Linked DNA regions of Arabidopsis thaliana. The protein of the gene in region 2 interacts with the protein of the main gene of each other region in a biochemical or structural test. Each region holds a gene or a part of one and is shown on either strand. Other genes may lie near its edges.

The links.
Region 1: the proteins of HD1 (region 2) and SCL1 form a complex in vitro, tested with the Arabidopsis thaliana proteins (one study listed by BioGRID).
Region 3: the proteins of HD1 (region 2) and BZR1 form a complex in vitro, tested with the Arabidopsis thaliana proteins (one study listed by BioGRID).
Region 4: the proteins of HD1 (region 2) and TPL form a complex in vitro, tested with the Arabidopsis thaliana proteins (one study listed by BioGRID).

Annotation. Positions count from the first base shown.
Region 1 is NC_003070.9:7,506,679-7,512,301, forward strand, and holds SCL1 (SCARECROW-like 1), read left to right. Parts: upstream 1-2,022; 5' UTR 2,023-2,497; intron 2,498-3,032; 5' UTR 3,033-3,042; coding exon 3,043-4,824; 3' UTR 4,825-5,123; downstream 5,124-5,623. Other genes in the region: SWEET1 (Nodulin MtN3 family protein), read right to left, coding at 5,352-5,528, 5,616-5,623. UniProt on the Arabidopsis thaliana protein: Probable transcription factor involved in plant development.
Region 2 is NC_003075.7:17,895,758-17,901,245, reverse strand, and holds HD1 (histone deacetylase 1), read left to right. Parts: upstream 1-1,736; 5' UTR 1,737-1,942; intron 1,943-2,183; 5' UTR 2,184-2,188; coding exon 2,189-2,716; intron 2,717-2,800; coding exon 2,801-3,241; intron 3,242-3,371; coding exon 3,372-3,602; intron 3,603-3,857; coding exon 3,858-3,928; intron 3,929-4,016; coding exon 4,017-4,074; intron 4,075-4,502; coding exon 4,503-4,574; coding exon of another isoform or gene 4,575-4,583; exon of another isoform or gene 4,584-4,648; coding exon 4,649-4,753; 3' UTR 4,754-4,968; downstream 4,969-5,488. Other genes in the region: AT4G38150 (Pentatricopeptide repeat (PPR) superfamily protein), read left to right, coding at 1-35; AT4G38140 (RING/U-box superfamily protein), read left to right, coding at 941-1,378; AT4G38120 (ARM repeat superfamily protein), read left to right, coding at 5,186-5,449. UniProt on the Arabidopsis thaliana protein: Responsible for the deacetylation of lysine residues on the N-terminal part of the core histones (H2A, H2B, H3 and H4).
Region 3 is NC_003070.9:28,183,861-28,188,605, forward strand, and holds BZR1 (Brassinosteroid signaling positive regulator (BZR1) family protein), read left to right. Parts: upstream 1-1,643; 5' UTR 1,644-1,848; coding exon 1,849-2,115; intron 2,116-2,459; coding exon 2,460-3,203; 3' UTR 3,204-3,285; exon of another isoform or gene 3,286-3,550; intron 3,551-3,586; exon of another isoform or gene 3,587-3,786; coding exon of another isoform or gene 3,787-4,107; 3' UTR 4,108-4,186; downstream 4,187-4,745. Other genes in the region: AT1G75090 (DNA glycosylase superfamily protein), read right to left, coding at 3,787-4,107, 4,187-4,328, 4,407-4,548.
Region 4 is NC_003070.9:5,415,018-5,423,010, reverse strand, and holds the start of TPL (Transducin family protein / WD-40 repeat family protein), read left to right. Parts: upstream 1-1,977; 5' UTR 1,978-2,174; exon of another isoform or gene 2,175-2,437; 5' UTR 2,438-2,472; exon of another isoform or gene 2,473-2,579; 5' UTR 2,580-2,651; coding exon 2,652-2,731; intron 2,732-2,831; coding exon 2,832-3,011; intron 3,012-3,115; coding exon 3,116-3,229; intron 3,230-3,340; coding exon 3,341-3,499; intron 3,500-3,596; coding exon 3,597-3,774; intron 3,775-3,845; coding exon 3,846-3,969; intron 3,970-4,068; coding exon 4,069-4,350; intron 4,351-4,442; coding exon 4,443-4,552; intron 4,553-4,633; coding exon 4,634-4,703; intron 4,704-4,778; coding exon 4,779-4,852; intron 4,853-4,934; coding exon 4,935-5,126; intron 5,127-5,209; coding exon 5,210-5,572; intron 5,573-5,663; coding exon 5,664-5,804; intron 5,805-5,884; coding exon 5,885-5,980; intron 5,981-6,056; coding exon 6,057-6,203; intron 6,204-6,294; coding exon 6,295-6,405; intron 6,406-6,478; coding exon 6,479-6,658; intron 6,659-6,739; and 10 more. UniProt on the Arabidopsis thaliana protein: Transcriptional corepressor. May repress the expression of root-promoting genes in the top half of the embryo to allow proper differentiation of the shoot pole during the transition stage of embryogenesis. Regulates the expression of PLT1 and PLT2.

The DNA.
Region 1 (5,623 bases), on a different chromosome or scaffold from region 2:
CCTTCTTCTTTTAGTTACTTTCAACTCTAATAACTTTTACTTCTTCTTTTTTTATTCCCTGTCCTAAGATATATTCCCATCCGTGATACCTTGAGAGTTAAGACGAAACAATACTAGTAGAATAAATTAGATCATAGAAGAAATCTATGTAGACAACACGGGGATTTCAATCTTTTGTTTTTAAATTAAGTTATCTAGTGCAATATTAGTGAAATATAGATTTTGTCCTTAAGACATTTTATCCTTATATGAATATTAATATTTGATACTAATAAGTAATGACTAAATTATTAGAGCTTTTGAAATCATGGGACATGCTGTCGGAGACTAATAAATATGAATCCAAAACAAAATTCCATGGCGCAGCCGGATTTTGCATGCGTTTAGAACCAAACATCCCACTTCCTAGTGAAAATCTTTTCTTAATTCATAAATCATGGAGAAGTAACTGTAATTTACATATGTACCCGTAAGCATATATATATGATCAGCAATTTGACTCGTATAAATTTTCAGAGTTCATATTTATGAGGTTAGAGAATTGCATTTGTACCAAAACAAAAACGAAAATGTAATCTCAGAAAAACGTAATTGCATTTTTAACAAGCTTTCATTTCAAATAATCTTGAATTCCAAAGAAGGCTGTTGTTCTGCAGAACATTATTCTATTCACACTTTAATAATTCGTCAAAAGAACAAAAGAAACAACAACCAACTAGCTAGTAACATCATTTGTTTAAAGAAACTTCCATTTGAATTCCAATATGGTAACATTATAGCATACGAAAGCACCTTAGTCAATGAGATTTGCACTTTTCCTTTGGAAAATTAAGTTCTGTATAATGGTTGAATATATAATATTGTGCGTGGGATAATCCATATGTGTACTACAAATAAAATGAAAATTGTATTGTAACAAATAAAATCAGAAGTTACGTAGTGGATAAGATTGAGAAAGAGAAGAAGTCCTATGTGGGTATTGCGAGGATAAGGTTGATAAAGACTCTGCGTCAAATGTTTAGTATCCTCATTCTTCATCATATTTTAAATAAAATACAAAAAAATTCTTAAATAAAATAAACAAATTGAGATTAGATTCTTTACATATTGCTTAATGATCATTACTTATGCGGTAAACAATCATTTTATTTGGAGACTTTATATGTCCCACTAAACTTCGGAAACTTGTAATTATAAATTATCGCCCAATAGTGTGTAACTCACTAACTTAAGCTATTGCTAAATAACATATTTTAAAGATATTCAAGTTAGGATCAGTGTTTAACGTAGAATTGCTGTTGTGGATTCACAGTTGAATAAGAATTGTAATCAATCTAATTAAACCGGACCTAATAAACAAATGATGTTAAGAAATAAAAAAAAATTGTCGATTTTTATGAATCATAATTTGTCAAAAAAAAAATATCCTTGAAGTTTTGTTTTGGATTAGTATAATAAAAAAACAAAAACAGTAAAGAAGATAAGTAAGATAACGATAATACAACAGAAAATTTCTGGTAAAACATAAAGTACTTTCTCAAGTTTTTTTTTTTTTTTTGTTGATAAATTATACTTTCTCAAGTTGACAAAGTAGCTTTGAATATTTCATAAGAATCAACACGTTAAGCTGCACTAACAGCATGAAATCGTGAATATTTATTTAGACCAAATGTCAATTAGTGCGTACTGTCGTAGGCACCTTCGTCACCCCACGATCGCTTCCGTCATATAATTTTCAGGAATATCCAACGGTTTGTGTTTTTCCTCTTATTAACGGTTTGTGTTTTTCCTCTTATTACTCCAAAATAAATATCATAAGACAAATATTACTTTGCACTAACAAAACAAAAAAAAAAAAAACAATAAATCAATACTACCAAAAAAAAACCGAGTAACAATTTAATTGGTCAACAGAAATTGATCAAAACCAAATCGGACACGGAACTGCTAATTATATACAGTAGTATTCTTTTCCAAGTGAGATATAAATCACTAATTTCAGTTACCTTCTGGAACAGTAGAGCTAGAGAAAAATTCAAAGACTTTTACAAAGTCTTGTAAGCAATTTACCCTAAACAATAAGATATTGGTATTCTTCAGAAAACAATCAAAATTCTCTTCATATCATTTTTTTTTGTTCGTTCTTCTTCAGAAAACAATCTTCATTTTTTTTGTTTTTGAATTTTTTTTGGTTCAAGTAAAACCTAACACCACACGAGTCTTTAAAAGTATGAATCTTTAAAGAGTAAACACATCTTTAAACAAAGACCACAAGACACAGAATAAAACCAGAAAAATCAGAACCCAAAGCCAAAGCGTTTTTATCATTTCTGTCTTCTTCTGTGTAAACAGTAAGACCCCAAAGGTCAAACCTTTAGGCTTTGTTTCTTCCTTTAAGGCTTTTTTCCGACGTTTATATCAGATTTCTTCTTGTCAATTTCTTCATTTGGACAACCTCCATAATCCAAGACCGACCCTTTTCCTCTAATCTCTCCTGGTAATTGACTTCATCAACCAATTTTTGTTTCCTGGTCCTTTAGTCTTTTCTCTAAGCTTTAGATACTTGTTTGATTATGTTGTTTTGCTTTACTCTGGACTTTAATCCTTATGTAAGCTGTTTAAACCAGTCAATTTGCTATTAAGAAATAGATCTTAGTGCTCTGATTGTTCTGAATTGGGACTATGGAAGAGATTTATTGGTTAACTGGTTATGGTATTGAGAATTGCATAGATTTGGTAGGTATCAGAGGAAGAGTTTTTTTCAATTGATTTGGTGAGAGTTACATAATTTTTTTTTTCAATTCTCAATGGATTTTTGATGATAGTCTTTGCTTTGGAGAATCAGCTCTGAGATTTGGATCATAAAGTTTCAAACTTGCTTTATCTATGATGAATTAGTAACAAAAGGCTTAAACTTTAGGAATGATCTCTTGAAGCTTTGCATGATTTAATAAGCTTTTGTTAGAATCACAGTGCTTGAGGTTTTTCTGTGTGTGACATTGATAAGATTTTGACATTTGGGAACGTTGTAGTTGCAGCTGAATGGTGGAACAAACTGTGGTTAGAGAACATATCAAAGCGAGAGTCATGTCATTAGTGAGGTCTGCAGAGCCATCCTCATATAGGAACCCGAAGCTTTACACGTTGAATGAGAATGGTAATAACAATGGTGTCAGTTCTGCTCAAATCTTTGATCCAGATAGGTCAAAGAATCCTTGTCTGACTGATGATTCTTACCCAAGCCAAAGTTATGAGAAGTACTTTCTTGATTCGCCAACTGATGAGTTTGTTCAACATCCTATTGGCTCTGGTGCCTCGGTTAGCTCATTTGGCTCTTTAGACTCATTTCCTTATCAGTCAAGACCAGTTCTTGGATGTTCCATGGAATTTCAGTTACCGTTGGATTCAACCTCTACTTCATCTACAAGGCTTTTGGGAGATTACCAAGCGGTTTCTTACAGTCCGAGCATGGATGTAGTGGAGGAGTTTGATGATGAGCAAATGAGATCAAAGATTCAAGAGCTTGAAAGAGCGCTTCTCGGCGATGAAGATGATAAAATGGTTGGAATAGATAACCTCATGGAGATTGACAGCGAATGGTCGTACCAAAACGAAAGCGAACAGCATCAAGACTCGCCCAAAGAATCATCGTCTGCAGATTCCAACTCTCATGTAAGTAGCAAAGAAGTGGTGTCTCAAGCCACTCCAAAGCAAATCTTGATATCTTGTGCTCGTGCGCTATCTGAAGGAAAATTAGAAGAAGCTTTGTCAATGGTAAATGAGCTGAGGCAGATAGTTTCTATCCAAGGAGACCCTTCTCAGAGAATCGCAGCTTACATGGTGGAAGGTCTAGCTGCAAGAATGGCCGCTTCAGGAAAATTCATCTACAGAGCATTGAAATGCAAAGAGCCTCCTTCGGATGAGAGGCTTGCAGCTATGCAAGTCCTGTTTGAAGTCTGCCCTTGTTTCAAGTTCGGGTTTTTAGCAGCTAATGGTGCGATACTTGAAGCAATCAAAGGTGAAGAAGAAGTTCACATAATCGATTTCGATATAAACCAAGGGAACCAATACATGACACTGATACGAAGCATTGCTGAGTTGCCTGGTAAACGACCTCGCCTGAGGTTAACAGGAATTGATGACCCTGAATCAGTCCAACGCTCCATTGGAGGGCTAAGAATCATCGGTCTAAGACTCGAGCAACTCGCAGAGGATAATGGAGTATCCTTCAAATTCAAAGCAATGCCTTCAAAGACTTCGATTGTCTCTCCATCAACACTCGGTTGCAAACCAGGAGAAACCTTAATAGTGAACTTTGCATTCCAACTTCACCACATGCCTGACGAGAGTGTCACAACAGTAAACCAGCGGGACGAGCTACTTCACATGGTCAAAAGCTTAAACCCAAAGCTTGTCACGGTCGTTGAACAAGACGTGAACACAAACACTTCACCGTTCTTTCCCAGATTCATAGAGGCTTACGAATACTACTCAGCAGTTTTCGAGTCTCTAGACATGACACTTCCAAGAGAAAGCCAAGAGAGGATGAATGTAGAAAGACAGTGTCTCGCTAGAGACATAGTCAACATTGTTGCTTGCGAAGGAGAAGAACGGATAGAGAGATACGAGGCTGCGGGAAAATGGAGAGCAAGGATGATGATGGCTGGATTCAATCCAAAACCAATGAGTGCTAAAGTAACCAACAATATACAAAACCTGATAAAGCAACAATATTGCAATAAGTACAAGCTTAAAGAAGAAATGGGTGAGCTCCATTTTTGCTGGGAGGAGAAAAGCTTAATCGTTGCTTCAGCTTGGAGGTAAGATAAGTGACAAGAGCATATAGTCTTTATGTTTCATAAAACATAATTATGTTTTTACTGTAATCTTGGGTTATTGTGTAACTGGTTAAATCATCTCCATGTATTATTACCAGAGGTTAGGGGTGATCACAGGTACTAAAAGCTAATCTAACACTTATGGAAGAATTTTTCTTTCTTTTTTTTCCCTATTATATAAAAATAATTAGAGTTTTGGTTCTAAACCTATTTGCTAAGTGTGAATGAGTCTTTACATGTTCATATTTCAGTTCAAATGGTTAAATTTGTTAAGGTTCTCACTTACTATTAGGCTTATCAGTTTTAACTCTTAAACTCAAAAGCTCATTAGATCCATAAAACTCACAAAAGGCATCGTCATTCTTCATCAATCACTAGTGTATCAGTACGAAACTAGGAAACGTTACATTTTTCAGCATCATTTTTTTTACATTCCAACGAAACGAAAAGGAAAACTCTAGTTAAGCAGAGTTAATACGAAATCACATAACCAAATCATCCTCAAAAGCTCTTTTAAACTTGAAGGTCTTGCTTTCCATTAACCACATTCTGCTTCTTCTCATCATCTTTCATCTCCACTGACTTCTCATCTTTCTGAGCATCTGCAGATTTCTCTCCTTTGTTTCCACAGTAGATGAAGTATAGTATCAATTGCAGTGTCCCTAATGCACATCCAAACCCATTTGGGATCTTCGCAACAACAAAAACCCAAAGTTAGAAACAAAGTTTTGATATTTACCAAAGAAAACAACACAAGAAGGAGAAATTGTAACTTACTGCAACAA
Region 2 (5,488 bases):
TCTTCAAGAAGAAACCAACCGAGAAACCCTTCTGATTTACTTACGCAGTGCTGTTAAGTATGCCGTCTCAGTAAGATGTTTTCTTGACTTGTAATAACAACCTTGAAAGTGAAAATCAATATGAGTCTTCCTTTTTCTGCTTGGAGTCAGGTATCGAGTTTTTTTTTTTTTCCTATGTCCTTTAAAAATGTGTAGTTGTAGATGTAGTTCCCTGTTTTCATGCATTCTAATATTGATTGCAAGTTCAATGAATAGCGTTGTGTTGGCGGTATAGGGTGTCAAATTATGCTTGACGCTTATCAGTCATTACCAATGATGTATGTGACTGTCTATTGCAAATGTGGCCGACTTCATGAACAAATATGAACAATAGTATCATTGGTTACATACACCAGGCATAAAACTACATCATCCTCCAAAGGCACTGCTGATCTCAGGGACGTGGAGGTCTGTTCTGTAGAAGCTGGCGCTATATTGAATACAAAATGCGTGGAGTCAACATTAAAATAGTTTTTATGATTCACTCGGAGATCTTTACTTGATTTGGTCGGCTGTATTATATTCGTGAACTCGGAAGTCAAGGCCTGTCTTGATGGAAGAATGACTCCTTACTTTTAATATATATATAAATAATACACTGGATATGAATGCCATCTTTTGTTTGTTTACTTTTGGCGTCATGTGATTCTTGTATTGTTTACTATTGTTAAATGCAAGTATCAGGTAGTGCTTAAGATGGAAGCATGTGCATCTCGTATGTTGACCATAACCTCTCCAAGAGTTTTCTTGGAGTTGGGAGAATCGCTGACTTGATTAAAGAAAAACAACAAAAGAATATAATAAGAGATGGGAGGTGGGGTCGGCGCCGTCCCTACTCGATGATATTAGTCTATAAAAGAGAGGGAAGGAATGAGGTAAAGAAGCAGAAAGCTGGAGAAAGATGATTTCAATGTTGTTTCCGCGGTCGCCTTTGTGCACAGCAGCCATAGTATTCTACACATGTGTGTGCATTCCCTTGGGGAGGTTGAAGAAGAATGGTGGAGATGCGGATGCGCATGATGATGACGGTTACAACCTAGTGGGAGTGATGTTTGGGGACAAGGAAAAGGAGGAGGAAATTTGCTGCCCCATATGCCTGGTGGAGTTTGAGGCTGAGGATGCGGTGACCCATCTTCCCAGATGCGCTCATCTCTTCCATATCAATTGCATAGAACCTTGGCTTCTCCGTGGCCACCTCACTTGCCCTCTCTGCAGATCATTTGTATTGGCTCCAACTCCTCCTACACAAAATGTCAATAATGCACACTCCTCTTCCACCTTGTATCTCTCTATCTTCTTCTTTTTCTGTATCTTTCTCCATCTACTTGGATACTTGTAGCCTAGCTTCCTTGTTAACACACCCATTCTTTATTTAACATGTATTTTGTCTTAGTTTCCAAGCACATATTGTCTCCATCTCCTTTTCAATCAAGATTTTGTGGATTACTCAGTTTTATGATATACTGTACTAAACAGAGACAAAAGCAGCACGAGTTTAGTTTTACCAGCCTTGCCTAGTGCCTACTGCTGCTCTAGTGCTCTGTTTCCTAATTGATTTGTTACTCTGCGTAAGACCATTAAGTAAACGGGCTAAAGGCAACTTAATAGGCCTTATTTTTAAAACACATTAAAAGTGGGCCTCATTTTAAACCATAACAGATTAAAAGTGGGCCTTTCCATTATAAACTGAAAGTAGAAAAAGTTGGAAGAGAAGAGTAAGTAGGCTACAGTTTCAGTCAGAGGTGAAAGAAAATCTGAAAGCAAAGCAGAGAGCAGCTCCCTTCCCCTCGGCGAGGAGGAAGGAAGAAGAAAGCCAGAGAGAGAGAGAGAGATCATCGCAGCTTCTCCTCCGACCATTTGACTGCGACTGTGATTACAACACACCGTTGATCCTACGAAAAAGGTCAGTCAGACTCTCTTCCTTGTCTGCGTGATTCCATTTTCCGGCGTCTGTCTAGCCTCGCCGTCTTTTAATATCTTTCACTCGCCTTCCTGTCTCTTCTGCACACTAGATTTGATTTTTTCGTAACTTAAAAAAATGTTGTTGTTGTCATTCAAACGCGTCCATGGCTCAGCTACTCCGCGGCTAGGGTTTAGTTATCATTTTTTAATAATATAATTTTTATGGATCGGCGTGCGTGCAGAGGTAATGGATACTGGCGGCAATTCGCTGGCGTCCGGACCTGATGGTGTGAAGAGGAAAGTTTGTTATTTCTATGACCCTGAGGTCGGCAATTACTACTATGGCCAAGGTCATCCCATGAAGCCCCATCGCATCCGCATGACCCATGCCCTCCTCGCTCACTACGGTCTCCTTCAGCATATGCAGGTTCTCAAGCCCTTCCCTGCCCGCGACCGTGATCTCTGCCGCTTCCACGCCGACGACTATGTCTCTTTTCTCCGCAGCATTACCCCTGAAACCCAGCAAGATCAGATTCGCCAACTTAAGCGCTTCAATGTTGGTGAAGACTGTCCCGTCTTTGACGGCCTTTATTCCTTTTGCCAGACCTATGCTGGAGGATCTGTTGGTGGCTCTGTCAAGCTTAACCACGGCCTCTGCGATATTGCCATCAACTGGGCTGGTGGTCTCCATCACGCTAAGAAGTGCGAGGCCTCTGGCTTCTGTTACGTCAATGATATCGTCTTAGCTATCCTAGAGCTCCTTAAGCAGCATGAGGTTTGTCCACCTGCACCGTTTTGATATATGCTAGGGATGGTTATGTCGTTTCTGAATCTCTAACTCTTCCTCTCTCGTTTGCAGCGTGTTCTTTATGTCGATATTGATATCCACCACGGGGATGGAGTGGAGGAGGCATTTTATGCTACTGACAGGGTTATGACTGTCTCGTTTCATAAATTTGGTGATTACTTTCCCGGTACAGGTCACATTCAGGATATAGGTTATGGTAGCGGAAAGTACTATTCTCTCAATGTACCACTGGATGATGGAATCGATGATGAGAGCTATCATCTGTTATTCAAGCCCATCATGGGGAAAGTTATGGAAATTTTCCGACCAGGGGCTGTGGTATTGCAATGTGGTGCTGATTCATTGTCTGGTGATAGGTTGGGGTGCTTTAATCTTTCAATCAAAGGTCATGCTGAGTGCGTCAAATTTATGAGATCGTTCAATGTTCCCCTACTGCTCTTGGGTGGTGGTGGTTACACTATCCGCAATGTTGCCCGTTGCTGGTGCTACGAGGTACTTTCTTCTGTTCATTTTATGCTGCTCTAGCTTTGCATTGAAATTTCCTTGGTCTCTGTACCAAGGTTAGCCCTCTGTGACGCCTCTCTTTCTTTGAATTTATTACAACAAACTGTTTATATGACAGACTGGAGTTGCACTTGGAGTTGAAGTTGAAGACAAGATGCCGGAGCATGAATATTATGAATACTTTGGTCCAGACTATACACTTCACGTTGCTCCAAGTAACATGGAAAATAAGAATTCTCGTCAGATGCTTGAAGAGATTCGCAATGACCTTCTCCACAATCTCTCTAAGCTTCAGCATGCTCCAAGTGTACCATTTCAGGAAAGACCACCTGATACAGAGACTCCCGAGGTATGCCACTTGAGCAAATCATTTGAAGTGTGTTGGCTCCTTTATTTCTGTTGCCCATTCTTTCTTGCATTTCCTCATGGGTTTTGGTGAGCTTATCTAAGTGTAACTGCAGTTACAATAAGAATTTTCTAATTTAAACAGCTGGGCTGGTAAATAATGTTCGTCCAGTTAGATATGTATAAGTATTCCTTGATTGATGACTCTGGTTGTTACCAATCTTAGTTTTGTAAAATATGCCTTCTATGTAAATTATAGGTTGATGAAGACCAAGAAGATGGGGATAAAAGATGGGATCCGGATTCAGACATGGATGTTGATGATGACCGGTATGAAATATATATGTTTCCTCCCCTTTTTATTTTTGGTTCGAGTCAGCGGTGTAATGTTTACTTAATGTGGGATCGCATTGTGCAGTAAACCTATACCAAGCAGAGTAAAAAGAGAAGCTGTTGAACCAGATACAAAGGACAAGGTACTACAGCATTATCTCTTAATTGTTTCGATTTCTCAGACACTTTTTCTGGTACAAACATTTGAAGTCATTAGTTCATCTAGGTTTACAGCATTTTCCAGAACAGCACAATGTGCTCTGATAACATTACACTTTTTCTCATCCCGAGACCCAAAACCTAAAGATTCCAGAATGAGTCTCATTCTGACATTAAGTCAGTTAGTTTAAGCTGGAGATACATTCACATGAGGGTAGCGAATCTTTAGCTACGGTTAAATCATTTAGCCTAGGCTATTTATTTAGTATGCTCCCAGCTCCAACAATTGACCTGATTAGATAGTGTGACCGTCTAGCCAAGCTGAGCTGAATCATCTCTGCCTCTCAATTCCTAAAGCCGTCTCCTTTTCTTCCGAGATTAATTTATTTATCATGGCATGTTGTTCGTGCAGGATGGACTGAAAGGAATTATGGAGCGTGGAAAAGGTTGTGAGGTGGAGGTGGATGAGAGTGGAAGCACTAAGGTAAAATGAAGCAGTGGACAGGGCTGAAAAGGGTGGGAATGGTGGTTTTCTAAAGTGGTTAGTTTTGATTGCAGGTTACAGGAGTAAACCCAGTGGGAGTGGAGGAAGCAAGTGTGAAAATGGAAGAGGAAGGAACAAACAAGGGTGGGGCGGAGCAGGCGTTTCCTCCTAAAACATAAGACTCGGAGCTTCTAATTTCTTGCTACTTTTTCTGTCTATCAAATGTTGCTAGTTAAGTTTCTGGAGTTGTTGTTGTTGTAAGCACTCCTCTGTTTTAGAGGATTGAGCACGGATATGTATTTATTCGTTGCATGTCTGAATGATGATATGATATGACAAGACGAGCTATTCCTTTTGCTATATATTTATTGATTGGGCCGAAGAGATCTGCGTCTGCCCACCCCAAAAAAATAAAGAATTGATGTGCTAAACGCAGCAATGAACATCATCAACTAGTGAAGTGGGTGGAGAAGATGTTTTCCTGTAACACAATTGATTTCTAACTCTAAATTAAAAAAATGTAAATCCCTTTAAGACTATTAAGCGTCTCTCTGTCTGTCTCTCGTCGTTCTCGTTTTTGATTGCTTAGTTTTTTCCCGGGAGACTGAAACATGTTCACGGCGGCAGCTTCGTCAAGCGTGGGAAGGTGGCGGACGGCGTTTCTCTCTCTCAGGGACGAAATCTCAACCACTCCACCGCCGCCGGTTCCTCTGTTGCTCGAGGATCTACTCTTCTCTCAATCCCATTCCCTTATCTCTGCCGTCTCTCACCTCCCACTGCACGAGCTCACTTCCGATTGCTTGTTCCTGCTCGATTTGGTTTCCAAAGCTGATGGTCCTGACTGGATCCCTGTCTCTCGTCATACTTGTCAACTGGTGCGTCTTCTCCTTCTCTCCTCCCATCATTTCCTTGTT
Region 3 (4,745 bases), on a different chromosome or scaffold from region 2:
TTAATTTGTATGAAACATTTTGGGTACTAATTTGTATTGGAATCTGAGATTGATGCTTTTAGAGGGTTTTAAAATGATCAAAAAAGGAAAACGAGGGCCACACTTCGTAAATTTTGTGTAATGTCTACACGCGATCGACGTGAATATGAATGGTTGACTGGGTTTTTTCAAAATAAAAAAAAAGTCAGGAGTTATGGGGCCCATGCATGCGTAAGTTACGATTATACCCCTATTGTTTATTTGTTTTCGTTCCTCTCCAATGTAATTTGAATTTGAAATCACGCCTCTATTAAATATGTCATCGTATAATGTCCATATTGAACATTTAACTAAACTAAAACAATGTTCATGGAGTGATTCTTAAGCCAACATTTTTTCTTGTTCAAGACATAGCATTTTGTAAGTTTGATGGTTTAAAGTAATGTACTTATTGTCCAAAACGAGTTAGCTAGGTAACATGGAGTTAATCGGAAAAACAGAACATATTTCCAAAAAAAACATACTTAACACATAATCTACTTATTATCACAAGTAGGTTACTAGTGCCAAACCAAAGAAGAAAACCCCTAAATTCCTTTTAATGCTAGAAACGAAAGCTGGTATTAAGATTTAACTGATGATTTAAAACGTATCACCAATAATTAACACATAATCGCTCGATTAGCAACAAAGTCGTTGTAGTATAGTGGTAAGTATTCCCGCCTGTCACGCGGGTGACCCGGGTTCGATCCCCGGCAACGGCGATTACTTTAGTTTTGCCTAATTCATCGAACCCTCTGATTCATTCCAAATGTTTCCCAACTCGCGTTGATGGTTCGGGTTCCTCTGCTTTTAAGACATTAGTTACATGCTCCTGCACTTTCTACAAAATAAACGTCATAATCCAAAAATATTACATGATCATACATCATATATGCCGCCGAACCTTGTTATGGGACAAACTCGTAAACCCCTTTTTCCTTTTATGTTCAATGAACTATACAAGTTTTGGTTATGAATACATAAATAATGATGGACCCAGCAATTAATCCAAAATTTGGATATTAGATACTAAAGCTTAAAATCAACATGTAACCAAACTAAATACTTTATAGAACATAGTAAATGGTATTCACCAATCTTTATATCATTTGTAAGGTACGAAGAAGGTAAAAAAAAGAGAGAGCCAGTGTACATACAACTAATCAGGACAAAAGTAGTCAAAATTGTTTCTAAAGTGAGATTTGTATGCAAGAAAAAAGTGATAATTTTTAATTGAATATATCATTATGATGTTAATCACACGGCTTCACTGTATAAAATAAAATTTTAAAAACCAATCAAATGGTGTGTTTTTCGGTCACACAAGTAAGGGACCCACACTGAAGAAACGGTCCCACTGTGTCTCCTCCTTTCTTTTCTCTGTATTATTTGGTCATTACTCATTTTACATACTCACAGAAAAAAAAAAAGATTAGAACATAAACACACGTTACTAAGCGTAGTTATCCTCTGCACCTTAACATACACCTCTTATATTCACCTCACGTAATCTCACCCTTCCAAAACCATGTATTTACACGTGGACGATCGATACACAAGAACAATGATTCTTAATATGAACTCAATGTACTTGAACACACACACGACCCAATTTTTACATTAGATGAAAAAAATATTATTATTTGTTGGAGAAGAAAGAGAGATTCTTCTTCTTCGATTCCAGCGAAGGAAAAGCGTATTCCTCGTGAGCACTAACTTCTCACTCCTCTCTTCTTCTTCTTCATCAGTCTACGTTCACACAATCTTTCACCCACCTATTCAAAGCTCTCTCCGGAAGTTTCGAGGGGTTGGTTGTTGGTTTTCCCGATGACTTCGGATGGAGCTACGTCGACATCAGCAGCTGCAGCTGCGGCGGCGGCAGCAGCGGCGAGGAGGAAGCCGTCGTGGAGAGAAAGGGAGAATAATCGGAGGAGAGAAAGACGGAGAAGAGCTGTAGCTGCGAAGATATACACTGGGCTTAGAGCTCAAGGTGATTATAATTTGCCTAAACATTGTGATAATAATGAAGTCCTTAAAGCTCTTTGTGTTGAAGCTGGTTGGGTTGTTGAAGAAGATGGTACTACTTATCGCAAGGTGAAGACTTTCTCCATTTTTTCCAGATCTGAGCTTGTTTTATTGATGTTTTTGATGTTTGAATCTGAATTCGTTGATTTCAATTGTGGTTAAATGGGTTTGAATCTGAGAATTTGAGGGTTTTCTCAAAGTGAATTTGAATCATCAGAAACTATGGATGGATCTGATTTCTCAAAGTGAATTTATGGGTTTTCTTTCTAATTTTAGAGTTATTATTGGTATGCTAAAGTCTTAATCTTTTATGTATGATACTTGGTCCAAAGTCATTGCATTGTGTTTCTTTTGCTTACCTGTGATTGATTGATGTTTGATTGGTTATTGTTTTGCTTTTGTTGGAGTATCAGGGATGCAAGCCTTTACCTGGTGAGATAGCTGGGACTTCATCTCGAGTAACTCCATATTCATCACAGAACCAGAGCCCTCTTTCATCAGCCTTTCAAAGTCCCATCCCATCTTACCAAGTTAGCCCGTCTTCTTCATCATTCCCGAGTCCTTCTCGCGGTGAACCAAATAACAACATGTCCTCTACATTCTTCCCTTTCCTCAGAAATGGTGGCATTCCTTCTTCTCTTCCTTCCCTCAGAATCTCAAACAGTTGTCCAGTTACCCCACCGGTCTCATCGCCGACTTCTAAGAACCCGAAACCGTTGCCTAACTGGGAATCTATCGCTAAGCAATCCATGGCCATTGCTAAACAATCAATGGCGTCTTTTAATTATCCTTTCTATGCGGTTTCTGCACCTGCTAGTCCGACACATCGCCACCAGTTTCATACCCCGGCTACTATACCTGAATGTGATGAGTCTGACTCTTCCACTGTTGATTCTGGTCATTGGATAAGCTTTCAGAAGTTTGCACAACAACAGCCATTCTCTGCCTCTATGGTGCCAACCTCTCCTACCTTCAATCTTGTGAAACCTGCGCCTCAGCAGATGTCTCCAAATACTGCTGCCTTCCAAGAGATTGGTCAAAGCTCTGAGTTTAAATTTGAGAATAGCCAAGTTAAACCCTGGGAAGGAGAGAGGATACATGATGTGGGTATGGAGGATCTTGAGCTTACACTTGGAAATGGGAAGGCTCGTGGTTGACATAAACAACTAGGCAAACCCAAATGGCATGTCATTGGAATATGAGAAACTAATCCTCTTGAGTATTTTCTTCTTCGTCCAGGTATTTGGATCTTTATGGAATCTCATATGTTCTTCACTTATTATCCAAATATGCTGCCCAAAGCCTTCTCCATGGAAGCATTGGAGTGTTAGAGTGGTTATTCAATTCATGAATTTGGTTTCAAAAGCATTATTTGTAGATAAAAAAATCTTAAGATGTATGATTCTGTTTCCTTACATATGTTACATTAATTAGTGGCTTGAAACTGTCTTGTGTCTTGTCAAATTGCTTAGTCATATATCATTTCTTGAGCCGATTCTGTCTCTTAGCATCAAGATCCAAAATTTGCAAAAACATTTGCTTTTACAAAATGTTAAATTCTTTATTTCCCTGCAATCAATCTTTTGGTCAAACACTAACACATCATCAAATATCTAGTTAGACAAAGCTAGCTAGGATAGTAGCATAATCAATGAACACAGCTAGCTACAAATGGTACATTCCATAACGAATACAAACACTGGTCACTCATCTTCTTAATAGTCCAATCCCTGTTTCTGATCAAACAAGTAATGGAGAATGCAGATCCAGTTTGGTTTCAGTCTCATGGCTTTTTGTTTCTCTCTCAGTCTCAACATTACATTCTTGGTATCTGAAACAAGCTGTGAGATGATCATTAACAATGCCAGAGGCCTGCAAGAAGGAATACATAACAGTAGGACCAACGCAGCGAAACCCTCTCTGCATCATATCTTTGCTAATGTACTCTGCCTTTGGGGACTTAACCGGTACTTGACGACCATATCGATAGCCATTTCTTAATGGCTTGTGGTTCACAAATCTCCAACAATAATTACTGAACGATCCAAATTCCTGCTTGACCTGTTTTCAGATTACAACCAAAGCTATTTCAGTAAACACATAGTATCTACAATTTCATAGCAAAACACACAGTGCCTACCTTGAGAACAGATTTCGCGTTCTCTACAATTGCTCGCAGTTTCTGTTCGGATAGAATTAGACACCCATTAACTCTAAGAGACATCAACCTCTTCTCTGTGAATTGTGCTATAGCTGAAGGATCAAACTCTTCAAAGAGCTTCCTACAAAAAAGAAACCAAAACTTCTGATATCACACCAAACCAAAACACAAAATAGCAAATTCACCGTCCTAAGTTTACCTAAAGTCGTCTCTTCTGCGTAGGATTGAAGGCCAGCTAAACTCAGCCAAAGCTTGTGAGAAGACAAGTAGCTCGAAGAGTTTCTTGTCATCACGAACTGGAACACCCCATTCCTCGTCGTGGAACAAAACATAGATCGGGTCTGTTTGATCAATCACCATTATTATTATTAACTGAAAAACTTACATATCCAATGTCATCAATCATCTTCTACATTTTTTTTTGTCCTTATTTATCAACTACAATACCTAGTTTTTGCTAGGTGCAATTAATGTGTTGTTGACATCTATGAAAACTGATTGTAACCTTTATTAACTTTAACGTATTATCAAAACAAAA
Region 4 (7,993 bases), on a different chromosome or scaffold from region 2:
AACACATAGCATTATTTTCTTTAATACGAGCAAATTCTCCGAAATTTGTAAAATACATAGAATTTTTCTATCAAAAATAAAAGTAAGAGTGTAGATTTGTATTTGATGGGATTTTTATTCTAACTGTGATATCTATATGACAAAATCTCTATTATTCTAACTTTTTTCTTTTTCTTGATATCATTCTAACTTAATCATTAGACTACAATCAATTTGTTTAGAATATATTTGTGTTGCGCTCATAACGATTCTTTTCAATATATATTGTTTGATTAAAGCTTTTAACAAAGTACAGTTTGCTTTCTAAATTATTTTTAACACGTATCCAGTTTTTTAAAAATATATAAAAATATATTCTTCACACCTATCATTTTTTATAAATAAAATATTTTTAACATTTAAAGATATATAAGATATTTCTAATAGTATAATTTATTTTTAATACTTATCATGTTTCTTAAATGGTTTGAACGCTTCGTTTCATTAGTTTATCCAACCTACCTCAGTTATGATATTACACTTTAGTAAAATAAAAAAAAACTGGTTATAAACTTAAAATATTATGCTTTGCTCGTATTAAAGAATTTCAGTACTTGTATATCGTTTTTTTAATTATTATTATGATTTATGACCTCGCGATTCGTGATGGTTAGTAGTAGACTAGTCGTAGTGGACAACTACTGTAAGAAAAAAAACTAAAAATAGATAGACACACACGCTAAATTAAATAAATCGTAAATCACGATTACATATTTATGTTTGTACTTGAAAATGTTATCGCTTTACGTGTGGTGATGGTGAGACAACAGTGTTTGTGTTTGGACGGGATAGATGTCAAATTACTCAAACGTGCGACTCTAAATTACACAAACTCTCATTTATTGCCCATCCTCCATCGATATCTTCACCCCTCTAATATATTTTAAAAATGTTATTTATAACTTCAACAATACACATTCGGTTTCATTTACAATTAATCCTTGCGTTATTATTACTTCTAAGCTATAGTATCTTGTACTTCCTTCCCCTGCTATTATTTAAACGGAAAGAATCCAGCTAATTCCGATCCACCTGCTCCTAGTAGCAATCTATCTATAAACAAACAAAACTAAAGTATAAATTATCACGAACATCTTAACAATAATAGTCAATGCAAGTGGTTCTTGTGTATACAAAGAATTAATAGGAACTACTATCCACATCCTTACGTTTACATTTTTCACAACCAATCATGCACTAAATTAACCTCTAATGAAAAAGTTAAAAATAAAGAATAATATTATCAAAGAATAATGATAATGTTCAGCAACATGTTGGACCAAGAAATGTTCAAACAATACTATAATATTGAAATATTTAGTAGTATTAGTTTTGTTCTTGTTTTTTTTATATGAGGAACATCAGCCATATCGTATAAATCGTGATAAACCGAGTTTATAAATCATATTTCGTATCTCGCCGAGAAGAAAGACGACGTAGCATCTTTACGAGTTGAACATTTCTCCATCACGTGATGTTCGATGAGTTAACGCATCTCAAGAGCAATTGGCTCTTCAATGTCATATCCGTAAATATTAGTCAAACTTGAGGGCAATGACTCAATATAAAAAGCTTTGTCGTGCCACGAGGGATCTGGAGACAAGTCTGACACATTGAATGAAACTCTAGCCGTTAGATCTCCGTCCTCCGCGCCATCTGACAAAATCGACGGTTTTCCAGATAGGTGTAAAACTCATCGCGAAGGAGTGGATCACACCTCTGTGGAGTACAGCTGGCAACTAATATTCCGAGCCGATAACGTCGAGAAATGTAGCCGATCAAGTCGTAGTTATAAGCAGTTCTACTTATCATTCCTGCTTATCGCAGTTAGCTTTTCTTAGAGTGATAGCTAACTTATTTTATCAGCATCCAATTATCTGTCACCTTCTCTTATTAAAATCTCCATTTCTGCAAGTTTTAATGTCCGTATATATATCTCGAAGAGAGAGAAAATCCCTTTTTCTCTAGATAGAGAGAGAGAGAGAGAGAGAGAAGAAGAAGCTTTTTAATTTAGTTTTGCTTTCTTTCAAGTTTCCTTTTTTCGATAGAGAGAAAAAGAGTCCAAAAATCAATCCATCACCTCTTTCGTCTCTGTGGTCTTCTTCTTCTTCTTCATCGATCTCTCTCTCTTTATGGTGAGTAAGCTTCACGCTTCTTTCTTCTACCTTTGTTGCCTCTGTTAATGGAATCTAGCTGTTTCGAGTTTTATTGTATATATTTTTTTATCCTTTTGCCCAAACTTTTTTCTGGGTTTTGCTTTATTTTTTCATCCCCCTTTCTGATAATTAATTTGCTTTTTTCATGTAGTAAAAAAAGATTCTTTTTTTAAGCTATTAAATTCACATCTTCCAATTCCAGGAAGACCTAAATTTCCTCTTTTTTTTGCCGTTATCTGCAGAGATGCGAAGTTTCTGGATAATTATTCAGATATAGGTTCCAAGTTTTTAGCTTTCATTTCTAACTTCTCTTTTCGTGTTTTTTAATTTCCATAATCTGGAAACTCAGATTTGAGCTCATTTCGGCCATTGTTTATATTGCAGATCTGGTGATAGTTTGGTTAGTTGTTGTGCATCTGAGTTAGAAAAAAGTCTTTTAAGGAAGTGAGAGAAAACATGTCTTCTCTTAGTAGAGAGCTCGTTTTCTTGATCTTACAGTTTCTCGATGAAGAGAAGTTTAAAGAGACTGTTCACAAGTATGTCTCTTTTGCTCTGTAGATTTCCTTGGATCTAATTTACCAACTGACCTGTTTAGCTCTTGTGTTGGTTAATGCATTATTGCTTTGTCATGTTCAGGCTTGAACAAGAATCTGGGTTTTTCTTCAATATGAAGTATTTTGAGGATGAGGTTCACAATGGAAATTGGGATGAGGTTGAGAAGTATCTCTCTGGTTTCACTAAAGTAGATGATAATAGATACTCTATGAAGATATTCTTCGAGATAAGAAAGCAGAAGTATCTCGAGGCTTTGGATAAGTAAGTCATGGTTGGGGATTTGTTTTTTTTTTTTCCTTTCAGTGAGATAGCAAAAGAAAAAGAGTCTGATTTGTGATTGACCTTGGTGACTTTTTTGTTGGTAGGCATGATCGTCCCAAGGCTGTGGATATACTAGTGAAGGATTTGAAAGTGTTTTCAACTTTTAATGAGGAGCTTTTCAAGGAAATAACACAGCTCTTGACATTGGAGAACTTCCGGTAATGTTATATTGGATTAATGTAGTGTCCAAAGCCTTTGTTTTCTTAGCCGTAGTTCAAAAGAAAGATTGATGCAGAGTATTAAGTGTTTCGAGTTTGATCAACTTTTAGGGAGAATGAACAGTTATCCAAGTATGGGGACACCAAGTCTGCAAGAGCGATCATGTTGGTGGAACTCAAAAAGCTGATTGAGGCGAATCCTTTATTCCGTGATAAATTGCAGTTCCCTACTCTTAGAAATTCAAGGCTGAGGACTTTGATCAACCAGAGGTTTATTGCTTTGTCCCTTAATCTTTTTGTCTTATTCACTTCAAGTTGTTGTTGGCATATTAATTCATTCTATCTTTTGTTACTGCATAACTCGCAGCTTAAATTGGCAACACCAGCTTTGTAAAAATCCAAGGCCAAATCCAGATATCAAGACTCTTTTTGTGGATCACTCTTGTGGCCCTCCAAATGGCGCACGAGCTCCATCTCCTGTGAACAATCCACTGCTTGGAGGGATACCAAAGGCTGGAGGATTTCCTCCTTTAGGCGCACACGGGGTAATTTAGTTTCTATCATTTTTATTTATGTTTTCCTGAGGCCAAGTGTTTGATTGTCTCTATGTTTCCAGCCATTTCAACCAACGGCGTCACCTGTTCCAACACCTCTTGCTGGTTGGATGTCTAGTCCATCCTCTGTCCCACATCCAGCTGTCTCAGCAGGAGCCATTGCACTTGGTGGTCCATCAATCCCAGGTACTACTTGCTTATCAAATGTGTATGTTTCTTCAGACACACTTTGTGTGATCTATGCAATTTGCTTACAATGGAACTCCTTTCCTATCTTTGGTATAGCGGCGTTGAAGCACCCGAGAACTCCTCCAACTAATGCTTCTTTAGACTACCCGTCAGCAGATTCTGAACATGTCTCAAAAAGAACAAGACCAATGGGAATCTCTGACGAGGTGAATCTAGGCGTGAACATGTTACCGATGTCATTTTCAGGGCAGGCCCATGGTCATTCTCCGGCTTTCAAAGCACCTGACGACTTGCCCAAGACAGTTGCGAGAACTTTGAGTCAGGGCTCATCTCCCATGAGCATGGATTTCCATCCAATTAAACAGACCCTGCTTCTAGGTGTGTTTCTTGCTCTCTGTATGTGCTTCTGTGTAATAATAATAATAATAATCATCAGCAATTTTCTAAATTCGTTTGAATTGTTGTACCAGTTGGTACAAATGTAGGTGATATCGGGCTGTGGGAAGTTGGTTCTCGCGAAAGATTAGTACAGAAGACGTTCAAAGTCTGGGATTTGAGTAAATGTTCAATGCCCTTGCAGGTGCCTATGCATAGCAACAACAAAATGTTAACTTTTATATATGTTATGAATCTACAGTGACTGAATTAGTTGTATCTTCAGGCTGCTCTGGTGAAAGAACCTGTCGTTTCTGTCAACCGTGTGATATGGAGCCCTGACGGTTCCTTGTTTGGTAAAGAACTCGCCTTTAAATTTATATCTGCACATGAATGCAACTTTATAAGTCACCAAACGTTCTGAATTGCAGGAGTTGCTTACTCGAGACATATTGTACAACTATACTCTTATCACGGAGGTGAAGACATGAGGCAACACCTTGAGGTCTCGTACCATTCACAAGCCTCTCTCTTTAACAATCGTTTTTTCCCTTGGGGATTTTCTTGTAATATTGTGATTATTTCAGATTGATGCTCATGTTGGTGGTGTGAATGATATTTCCTTCTCGACTCCAAACAAGCAACTATGTGTAATAACTTGTGGTGATGACAAAACCATCAAGGTTTGGGACGCTGCAACAGGTGTCAAAAGGCATACTTTTGAAGGCCATGAAGCTCCTGTTTATTCCGTTTGTCCTCATTACAAGGAAAACATTCAGGTAAGCTTAGCTAACCGTTGATCTCCCTCCCTTCTATTAAATGTTTCAGTTTTTTGATGTGTTGTATTTTTCCTGTCATCAAGTTCATATTTTCAACAGCTCTTGATGGGAAAATTAAGGCTTGGTTGTATGATAATATGGGTTCCCGAGTTGACTATGATGCACCTGGTCGCTGGTGTACTACAATGGCTTATAGTGCCGATGGTACTAGGCTATTCTCTTGTGGGACGAGTAAAGATGGAGAGTCTTTCATTGTTGAGTGGAATGAAAGCGAAGGAGCTGTTAAAAGAACTTATCAAGGATTCCACAAGCGTTCTCTAGGTGTTGTGCAGTTTGATACAACTAAAAACCGTTATCTAGCTGCGGGTGATGATTTCTCCATCAAGTTCTGGGATATGGACGCTGTACAGCTTTTAACTGCCATTGATGGCGATGGAGGCCTCCAGGTACATGAACAAAAAATGCCTAACTAGAAAAGTTTTCAGATATTCTTTTGGAGTTTCTTCTTAACTTGCGCTTCTAATATATTTAAACTAGGCAAGCCCGCGTATCCGGTTCAACAAGGAAGGCTCTCTCCTGGCCGTGTCTGGCAACGAGAATGTGATCAAGATTATGGCAAACTCAGATGGTCTAAGGCTATTGCACACTTTTGAGAACATATCATCTGAATCCTCCAAGGTACTTAAAATCTAAGCTAAGCTTTAAATTACTTACACCCAATTGAAAGATTTAGTCAACACTTCATTCTACATTTGCAGCCTGCAATAAACAGCATAGCAGCGGCAGCGGCAGCTGCTGCAACAAGTGCTGGTCACGCAGATCGATCAGCCAATGTAGTTTCCATCCAAGGAATGGTAAGAAATACAATTCTTTTTTGTTCTTTCACTCACTTTATTTTATCTTTCTATTATTCATCACTTGCCTTTTTAGAATGGAGATTCGCGGAATATGGTGGATGTGAAGCCAGTGATCACAGAAGAATCAAATGATAAGTCTAAGATATGGAAGCTTACTGAAGTCAGCGAGCCTTCTCAATGCAGGTCACTGAGACTCCCTGAGAATCTGAGAGTAGCCAAGGTATATAAAATATACATTTTCTGAGCCATGTATAGGGTATATATATATAGCTGTTCTTTTTTCTGACAATAAAACCAATGACTTTTGGCAGATATCAAGATTGATTTTCACGAATTCGGGAAATGCTATTTTGGCTCTGGCATCAAACGCAATTCATCTTCTATGGAAATGGCAGCGGAATGAGCGCAACGCAACTGGAAAGGTGAAATTGAGACTCTTTCTTAGTCAAATAATGATAAGTGTCACTGATCTCTACATCTCGATTTTCCGTGTAGGCGACAGCTTCTTTACCGCCTCAGCAGTGGCAACCAGCTAGTGGGATCCTCATGACTAACGATGTTGCTGAAACCAATCCCGAGGAAGCTGTACCTTGTTTTGCTTTATCCAAGAATGATTCATATGTAATGTCAGCCTCCGGAGGAAAGATATCCTTATTTAACATGATGACGTTTAAGGTAATGGGGACACATAGATGCTGATCTTTTGATGTTCTGTGTATGCAATTTGACTGACTGTTCTTGGCTAATAATTTGCAGACAATGGCGACTTTCATGCCCCCACCACCGGCTGCTACTTTTCTTGCTTTTCATCCTCAAGACAACAATATCATCGCTATTGGGATGGATGATAGCACGATTCAGATTTATAATGTCCGTGTTGATGAGGTAATGCATCAAAACTCAAGAGAAGAATGTAGAAAAGAAGATGAAGTGTTTTGTTTGTTAATATGATGGCCATCATGTTCCTTGTTTGCTCCTGCAGGTGAAGAGTAAGCTTAAAGGTCATTCAAAGAGAATAACTGGTCTTGCCTTCTCCAACGTATTAAACGTGTTGGTTTCGTCTGGAGCAGATGCACAGGTTCCCGCCTTAGACCATTTTTTTTTTTTTTTTTGAGAATCGATGAAGAAAAGATCAATAGTCTTTGAAATGTTTTTGTTTCAGCTTTGTGTTTGGAACACAGATGGATGGGAAAAGCAGAGAAGCAAGGTTTTGCCACTTCCACAGGGAAGACCAAACAGTGCACCTTCAGATACGCGTGTTCAGTTCCATCAAGATCAAGCTCACTTCCTCGTTGTGCACGAGACGCAACTTGCTATATACGAAACTACCAAGCTCGAATGCATGAAACAGGTATTTTATATTTATAGGCCGCTCTCTCTAAGATCTGCAATTTATTGCATTTGAAAGATGATTAATGATTGCAATGTTTCAGTGGGCTGTTCGAGAATCATTAGCTCCAATCACTCATGCCACATTCTCATGCGATAGCCAATTGGTCTACGCGAGTTTTATGGATGCAACAGTTTGTGTATTTAGCTCTGCAAATCTACGGCTGCGTTGCCGGGTCAACCCTTCTGCGTATCTACCAGCTAGTCTCAGGTAAACAGAGGAATCTTGAAATTTACCCAAAAAAACAGAGGAATCTTTAAATTTCGGAAAGAACGTTTCTAAACATCAATCGGTTAGTTGTTTATATATCATAAAGCTCCTCTTGTTGACTTGTGCAGCAATTCAAACGTACATCCACTAGTGATTGCTGCACATCCGCAAGAACCAAACATGTTTGCAGTTGGTCTCTCAGACGGGGGAGTGCACATATTCGAACCGCTCGAGTCTGAAGGTAAATGGGGAGTCGCTCCACCGGCTGAGAACGGGTCGGCTAGCGGTGCACCAACTGCACCTTCCGTTGGAGCCTCTGCATCTGATCAGCCTCAGAGATGATCTGATCCGAGAGCCACCTACCTCTCTGATTCCCTTTCTTCTATTTAAAAGTCTTTTCTTTCTTATTT